2 linked regions of the Ovis aries genome follow. The protein of the gene in region 1 interacts with the protein of each later gene in a biochemical or structural test. Links are inferred from orthologs where the notes say so. Each region holds a gene or a part of one and is shown on either strand. Other genes may lie near its edges.

Evidence for each region.
Region 2: the proteins of WASL (region 1) and PFN1 form a complex in vitro, tested with the Homo sapiens proteins (2 studies listed by BioGRID). The link is inferred for Ovis aries from reciprocal best matches to the Homo sapiens genes WASL and PFN1.

The regions. Positions count from the first base shown.
Region 1 is NC_056057.1:89,673,020-89,677,328, forward strand, and holds the start of WASL (actin nucleation-promoting factor WASL), read right to left. Parts: upstream 2,972-4,309; 5' UTR 2,604-2,971; coding exon 2,487-2,603; exon of another isoform or gene 1-2,486. UniProt on the Homo sapiens protein: Regulates actin polymerization by stimulating the actin-nucleating activity of the Arp2/3 complex. Involved in various processes, such as mitosis and cytokinesis, via its role in the regulation of actin polymerization.
Region 2 is NC_056064.1:26,323,801-26,328,188, reverse strand, and holds PFN1 (profilin-1), read right to left. Parts: upstream 3,049-4,388; 5' UTR 2,895-3,048; coding exon 2,763-2,894; intron 1,323-2,762; coding exon 1,130-1,322; intron 503-1,129; coding exon 405-502; 3' UTR 152-404; downstream 1-151. UniProt on the Homo sapiens protein: Binds to actin and affects the structure of the cytoskeleton. At high concentrations, profilin prevents the polymerization of actin, whereas it enhances it at low concentrations. By binding to PIP2, it inhibits the formation of IP3 and DG.

The sequences.
Region 1 (4,309 bases):
TTCTTTCTCTAGATTCAGTAAGCTGAGGGAACACATCAACTCTGATTTTGACCTCGACAATTAGCTGTGTGTGTGTGATAGTTGCTTAGTCGTGTCTGACTCTTTGCAACCCCATAGATTGTAGCCACCAGGCCCCTCTGTCCATAGGGCTCTCTAGGCAAGAACACTGGAGTGGGTTGCCATTTCCTTCTCCAAAAGGAACTATAGAAAGGAAGTGAAGTTGCCCAGTTGTGTCCGACTCTTTGCTACTCAATACTACTTTGCTGAGTGAAAGAAGGAATGAAACTCCTTGAGAGCTACGACTGTAACTACTCCAGCTTCATTTTCTTGATAATTCTTAAAGCTCTGAATGCACTTCTTGCTTAACAAATTTGGTCTGACCTGTAAATCTCATTGCATGATTTTTTTTTTAATGAGATAAAATATTTCAATAATGTACAAAATACTGCATGGTCAGCAAAGGGGGGGGGGGGGAACTGTTCCAGAAATTAAGATCTCATTCTTTACTGTCTAATAATTGGAGACTTCAAATATTAATCTTTGCAACCATTTCATACAGCAAGAGCAGGTAACTCCAACAGTGTGGTTCTAAATGACAGAAATCCATTCTTTATCTATCGCTGTATTCTTACATGTCTGTCATTTCTTTGACACCAGTAAACATTATAGGAAATGCAGAGCAATTAGTCAGTATGCTTGTGTATAAATGTAATGTCCCTCCCTGCCTAATGTGTCTGGTATGTAACACATAGTACAATTACTTCCTTTTCTGAGACAGATTATATAACATAAGTAGTGTACCAGAAAATTTTTTTAAAAAACTTTTCATTTGCAGATAATGTCACATTCAAATGGCTGGAGATTTTCCTAAATTGAAAATATGCACAAATTAGGGCTGCTTTAAGAATCTTACACCTTAATTGTATCAGCTTCTGATGAAAAAAAAAAGTGATTATTTCTTTAACACTACTTTTAAATAAATAACAAGTAAGAAAAAAACTTCTAAAACAACATGATGTAGTGGAAAGTACAACACAACAGGCATGAGGAGTCCTGCTTTTCTAGTTCCGGTTACATTACTAAATTGCTGTGAGACAGAGGGCTCACCGGCTCAGTTATCTTGTTTGTTTAAAAACTGTGTGGGGAGAGTGAAGAGGGGGCTTGACTGTCTTCAAAGCTGTTTTCCCAAATCCTGATTCTAACGCACCTTTTTTTATTCTGATCAGGTCTAACTTTTGAAATACGAAACACATCTGCACGTAACGTAATGATTCAATCTCCTACCAGGTGGAACAGGATACAATGGGTAAACTCCTAGAAAGTTAACAATTAATCTAGTAACTTCCCAGAACTTGTCTAATCCTAACTTCTTAAACAAGCAGGTGCAGTCTGGGTGACACATTTAACATTAGAAGGAAAGCTGTAAAAGGTACAGCTCTGTTGACATTTCCCTCGGTGGTTCCGGGGTGCCAGTGGCACAGACTCTGCAGGTGTTAACCAGTAAAGAGGGGAGAAAGGGAACTGAACAGCGTTTCAACAATCTCAACCACAGCTCAACTCGGCCACCCCAGTAAGATGCAGGCTGACAAGGCCTACCCCACAGAGCACAACCTCCCCACCCCCAGAAGCGCCAGCAGCCAATGTAATGAATGCTTCCGTCAACAACACATTCCCCTTCCCACAGCAGAGCTGCTGGCTCCAACCAGCCATCTGGAGTTGGAACAGGCCGCACAGCACCGACCTAAGTAAGACCCATTCTCAGATCCCAAAAGGCAAGAACTGCTGGAGATCGCGGTTCCCCTGAGCTTGGTTCTGGGAGAGCAGCATCTCCGACCAATGCAAACAAACAACAACAAAAACAGTGGAGAGGAGAGAAACCAGGCCTGAGAGAGACTGCTGGAGAAATAAACCTCGTTTCTCTGCAGTGGGGAGCAGCAGCATTACCTGCCCCCCGTTCTAAACCGATGGACTCGACTTCATTCCTTCCTGAGATCCTCAAGGGAGAATAAAAGACGACCTTACGGCCCGATTCATTCATATCTGAGTTTCGGTCCCCGACCCACACCCACTCCTGAAACCAATGGCATTGTGAAGGAAAGTACCCCCACATCGGGGTCGTAGGAGGAGAAGCGAGAGCCAGTCCAGGAGCCCAGTTACTACGATCAGGCAGCTCCTATAAAAATATCCCCGCGAGGCCTGACAGTAAAGTCTGAACCAGCAGCAGAGGCACGGACCCGGGTCCGAGCGAGCAGGGCTCCAGAACAGGCCTGCGGACCTGACACTTCCCTGCTCCCTGGGCAGGTCCGAGAGGCGGCCTCCGGCCCGCACTGCCCGCACCCAGGGAGCCGGGTCAGAGAAAGGCCTGGCCAGCAGTCCGATTCTCCCCGCGCCGCTCCCGCCTCCTTCCCCACTCCCACCTCCCGGCGCTCCCTCCCGGGCCCGGGAGGCTAAGGTCGGGGGCGGCGATGCGGGTCTCACACACTGACCACACATTTCTTGCCGAGGAAGGTGAAGAGGGACTCGTTCTCCTGAGGGGTGAGCAGCAGGGACCCCACGTTGGTGACCCTCCGCGGCGGCGGCGGCTGCTGCTGGCCGGAGCTCATGGTTTCGCCGGCGGGGTAGGGAGGCCAGGGCCGTCTCCTCGGGCGAGTGGGCGAGCGCTCGTTCCCCTTCTGGGTGACAGGGGCGGGAGGAGGGGAATCAGAGGCGTAGCATCTCGCAGCTCCTCCGGCGCAGGGAGGAGGCCACGGAAGGAGGAGCCGACGGCGGGCCGCTGTGAGAAAGGGAAGCTCCCCGTTCCCGCCGGGGTAGGCTCTGGCCGGATGGTCGTTGTCCTCGCACTCCGGCGACTGCGCTAAACTCCCAACTCCTCCCCCAACCTTCCTTCGGCGGCAGTGGCGGCGGCGGCGGCGGCGGCGGCAACGGCCTCACAATCCAACATGGCAGCGGGGTACGGGCGAGACCACAGGACGCGAGACGCGGGGGAGCGCGCCGGAAACGCGCGGCTGCGGGCCGGGCCCGGGAGGAACCCCACCTCCCCACGCCGCGCCTGGCTTCGCCTAGCCGGCCCGAGGCCACGCCCACTTCCGGCTGAGGCGCGGGCTACGGGCGCTCTGCGGTGTGACGCGGGGTTGTGGGACCGTCGCAGCGTTTGGCGTCCGAACTGGTTCCTCGGATAGTCGTCCTCTACAGAGGCTTGAAGAGAGGAGGTGGCTCGTCTCCGCCAGCGAGCTGTCATCCCCTCTTCTGAGACGCACACCTTTGCGGAGCGTCATTGCAGACCCGTCCCCGAAGTAGCTTTTTTCTGAGACACGAGAAAAAAGATTTTCGAGCTCCTGTCAGAAAATTCTGGAAGCTGGAGACGGAAAATGAGAGAAGGGACGCCCTTCCCTGTGTTCCTCGCCAGTTCGCTCAGAGCCGCAGGTGCCTGCGGTTTCTCAGACACTGTCCCAACTTCAACAGTGGAAATGGATGAACAGGCCTCTGCCAGGATTGTGGAAGAGACCTTGCTGATGGACGTTCCTAAAAAGCAAAGGCACTTAGAAAAGGTTTCTACTGCCCGGTGGTATTTCTCAAAAGGATACATGTATTTGTAATATTGCAGTTTGGGTTCGTTTCTCTATGGGTCCTCCACACATTTCCCTGATGTTTTATGAATTGAAAAATATTTCCTTTTCCCCTCCTCGTGTTTTTCTTCTTCTCAAACACCAAAGGCCTTGTTTACTTTTTATCCAAAATGAATGTACCCATTTAGAGATGTCACTCAGAAAAATACATCTAACTTAATCCGAAATCTCAGGAATCTTTTAAAAATTTATATTCAATATTGGAAACTAGAGTAACTCCCTTTGCTCAGTAGGTTAAACACTAGACAGCTGGCTTAAAACGAAGTTTGGTAATATGGAGATGATAAATAATACACACTGCCCTGAATTATAGAATAAACATCTCCACTTTAAACAAATTAGCATTTATTGTATAATCGTTACCATCGTATTTGTTTATTTTTAAACAAAAAACATGTTAAACTCAAGACATCTATCCTTTAACAAATGAAAGCTGGTAAAACTATTTGATTTTAATATTTCTGAAAGCTCCCAGTACAAATCTTGGGTGTACTAAACAGATTGTTAAGCCATTATCAATACTCTTTAAAAAAATTATTAAAAAATGAAGGCTGCCTTAATGAAATTAACTGAGTGGAAATAAATCTAAAAGGAAAATGTAATCATAGTTCTGTGAGTCCTCACATAAAATATGGATATGTCAAAGTTACCTTGGTTTACAGTGTTAGGAAAAAAAAGTGATT
Region 2 (4,388 bases), on another chromosome or scaffold:
TTAATCCTGGACATGAAAGCAAGAAGCTCAAAATCTTAGACTTTGTATTTCCTAAACTCTCCTGCCGCTTCTAACCCCAAGCCAGGATAAAGGAGACAGGTCACAAGAGCTGTCTTCCATCCTGACACCCAGGCTAAAACCACACAGCACCTTGTTAGTAGAATCTTTTTTATTCAGAAAAAAAACCCAAAAAACAAAAAAGTTTTCCAACCACACACAGGAGGGGTACGGGTTGGGGGCAGGGGATGTCTGTCCATCCAGCCCAGGCCCCCAGCCCATGTGGTTTTGGCAGCAATAAGGGGTGTGGGGTAATGGCCCAAAAAATAAAAATGGTGTATGTATGTGTGTGGGAAGGAGAGGGGTGCAAAAGCAGTGGGGAGTGGTGAGGGGAGGGCCAGACGAGGTCAGTACTGGGAACGCCGCAGGTGAGAAGCCATTTCATAACATTTCTTGTTGATCATACCGCCGTGGACACCTTCTTTGCCCATCAGCAGGACTAGCGCTGGAGGAAAGAGAAAGGAGGCTAGGACCCAGGTGTCACCACCCCACCCCCTGCCAGCTGTTCAGCAGCTGTCCAACCCTGGGGGCTGTAACCCAACCTCATCTCTCCCAACCCCCCACACACAGGCAGGCTGTCAGTCACCCTGAAACAATAGGTCTTTTCAAAAGGGGAAAATCAAGCTTAAAGGCTGGAAAGGAGCACAGTAAAATTTAGGGGTCAAAGGCTCCTGGACTGTTGACTCATGTGTTCAGGCTAGAAATGGCTGTGGATGAGCCGGCCACCTCCAAGTTTTCACAAAAGAGCTCAAAAGACAAGAGCAGAATGCTGACTTACAATGAACCTTTTACCTCCTCCAAGAAAACAGGGAGTTTCTCCTCTGAAAATGCTCAAGGTAAGAAGCAACTTAAGAGGTAATACAGTTCAACTTCTCTACACCGTATGGTGAGGCGTATGGTGAGGCACTGAGACAGAACTAGAGGAACAATTCGATGCCCCAGCATCCAGCAGGCTGGGAGTAGAAACCTGGTTTGATCCTTTCATACTAAGTGACCACACAGAAGAACCCAAAAGATTAACAAAAGGAGGTACGTTAGGGATTTTGGAGCTAGAGAATGGGTAAGAACTCACTCTTGGCAGTCATGGTGACAGTGATATTGAAAGTTGGGGCTCCACCGGTGCTCTTGGTACGAAGATCCATGGTAAATTCTCCATCCTGCAGCAGTGAGTCCCGGATCACAGAACATTTCTGGCCCCCAAGCGTTAGCCCATTCACGAAAAAACTTGACCGGTCTTTGCCAACCAGGATACCGACCTCAGCAGGCTGAAAAGGGAACCAAGCACCCAGCAAGTTAGTCAATACACCAAAGTTCTCACCTGTCTTCCATTTCTCAAGGAAGCTAAGCCCCCTGGGGTGAAAGGTGTATGTTATGTGCTTTGTACACATTCGTGAAATTTGAGAAACTCAGGATTGTTGGAAGTGCACAAAAATATGATCTTGAAACCTAGAGAATGGTACTAGGAAGGGACAACATGGTCCTCTGACTCAGATGTCGATTTAGATGTCGTTTAATAGGGAAAGCAAACCCAGTAAATAAATGGGGCCAAAAACCAGTTAAGAGAATGGAGTGGAGAGCCTTGGATGCTCAGAACTCTCCTTCAGGAAAAGCAGAAGCGAAGAGGGGAAGGGAGGGGGCGGGCAAAGCAGGAGAAGCAACTTTGCCCTTATTTGGTCAAAGGTTCTGCAGGAGTTGTTAGGGGCCCGGACGCCTGGGTCTCTAAGTAACTTAGAGTTTAGGTTCAGGTATCTATGCTCTAAGATGAGCAAGCAGATGCCTTGGGGCATTCAGCGAAAGTCGAAGAACTTTTGGAGGGGGCCTGGGGCTAGACCCGACAGCCAGCTCTCGGGTCTAGATACCCCGGGGAACGTATCTTCCCCTCCCCCTTACACCCCAAATCCCCACATCCGGTCCCCTCCCGCCCGGAAATCCCCTTCCCCCCCTTTCGAACTTCCGCTCCCCCTCCCCACTTCCGGGCAGTGTGGACAGGGGAGTTGGTGATGGGGACAGCAGCAGTCATCCCTTCTTCCTTCACTTATACTGTCCTAGAACTTCTCACAAAGTTCCCCTGCTCCAGGCCCTGCCTGATGGCGGGAAGGGAAGGCGAGGGGACTCCCGGGACTGGTCTCTCAAGAATGCTGAGTCCGACCGGCCGACTGGCGGGGAGGGGGTCGTCGTGTGGCGCCCTAGCCCTCTCTAATGGAGTTGGGAGGGGCAGGGAACCCACGGAGATCGGGCTAGGGACCCAGGCCATGCGACTGGGGCTCCCTCCCGGTTCAGAGGAACAATAGTGGAAGGGGCGCGAGCTGGCGGCCGGAAGTGGAGCTAGGGGTCCCGGGGTCCCCAAGTCCCTGCTCAATCAAAATCCTGGGTAGAAACTACGGCGCGTGCCCGACCCGCCCTGGAGGAGGCGGAAGTGGGCCGCCGCACCGGGCGGCGCACCCTCCCCGCCCCGTGCCCCGGATGTAACGCCCCGTCGCGGAAAGCGGGGCGGCGGGCGGGTTGGGCGCCGCCGCCCGGGGCGGAGGATTCAGGGGGCCATGGAGGGGCCCGCTCACGTGCAGCCGCCATTCGCGCCACTTCCAGGGCAAGGACCGGGTCACGGCCTTTCGCCGCCCTCCGCAGACCGCGCCCGCCCCCACCCGAGTCCCTCCCTCAGGGTCCAAGCCGGGCCAGTCCCCAGGACTGTGCAGGCCTCTCAGTACCGTGATGTTGACGAAGGTCTTGCCGGGGACGGCGGCCCAGACGGAGGGCGAGTCCTTATAGCCCACGATGGCTGCGTCCTGACAGGTCCCGTCCGCCATGAGGTTGTCGATGTAGGCGTTCCACCCGGCCATGGCGCTGCTATTGGGGCTGCTCTCGGGGCTGCTGCTGGGGCCGCGGGCTGGGCTCGGGCTGGCGGGCGGGGGAAGACGGAGAGCTTGGGGCACGCGCTGCCGTCCGGACCGCGGCTCTGCTAGCTGTGCAGCAGCCCTCGCACCGCCACTTCCTGCTCCTCCCCACCCCCCTAGATTTTTATTTGCAAAGGGCGGTGGGGGCGGGGCTTGCTCCCCACTCCCTCTCTCCCTCCCCTCTCCTGCCCAGATACCGAACTTTGCAAATGCATTTTAAAAAATCCCTCCCCCTATTGCAAAATTTGCAGAGTTCGATGGAAAGCGAGGCAAAAAGAATCGGGGTGGGTGGGGATGGGTTAAGGTTAGGGCCCGCTCCACTCCGCCTAAACTATCAGACTTTAGTGGAAGGAAAGGTAGTGAGCCACAGGGAAGAAGGAAAGTGAAAGAAGTAAGAATTAGCAAACTGCAAATTTAGCAAATTAAAGAGGATTCGGGTAACTCAGGGTTAAACAGAACGACTCCCCCTTCCCCCACCTCTGCCGGGGGCAGGAACGGCGGGCGGCGGCGGGGCGCGTGCGCCCGCGCCTGCGCCGGGGCCGAGAGGGAAAGCGCGTGGGGCGGTTAGGGCAGACGGCGGGCTTCGCGGGCGCGCGCCCGGGCGCGCCAAGCGGGACTGATTTGGACCCTCGGTGAGGGCAGGCAGGCCGGGGACGTGTCTCCCGCCGGGCGGAAGGGGCGGAGGCGAGGCGTGGCGTGTGCCTGGCCGCTTCTGCCCTCTTGATTTTATTTATTCAAGAAATAAGGTAGTAAAAGGAAATTAGACCAAATACCCCCGGCCGTCTTCAGAATTGAAGGCACCCACCAGGGACACTTCTGTCCCCAGCATCTGCCCGGGCGGCACAAGCGGTACTCACTGGAGCCCACCTCGACTCCAGGGGGTTGTGACTCACTGGATCGGCTCCAGCCTCATTCCTCACTCCACGTCCCAGCCCTGCCCGAACCCCGGTCAGCAGTTTGGGTCACCGGCTGTGCCCCTTGGCCCGTGTCTGCAGAGGTCATTGAGCACCGTGGGGCCAGACGGGCGGGCCTATTTTCCAAGGCGGAAGAATACTAAGCGGTTTCTCAAGATTGCAACTTTTTCAAGAGGAGGAAAGTCCCTTCAACTTTGCCCTTTTGGGTTTTTCTTGTTCTTTTTCAGTAAAACTTAAGCTAAGAACTTGTGTGCGATGAGTTCGCTGGCTATCCACCGGGAAGCGGGTGGGGCAGGACCTGGAGTCCGGCTTAGGTGACTCTAGCTCGCGCTGGCCGCCGGGGCCGCTGAGGGGCTAGGCCGCTTCCGGTCCCTCGGGGGAGGGGCGGCTCCCGGGCGCGAAGGGGCTTCGTTTCCCTCCTGTCCTCCGTAGCGGGCGCGGCCACTCGGAACCCACGGAGCACCCGACGCCCCCCGAACCAGTGTTCCTCGACAGCCGCCGCGGCTGAGTCACTGGCCAACTCGGG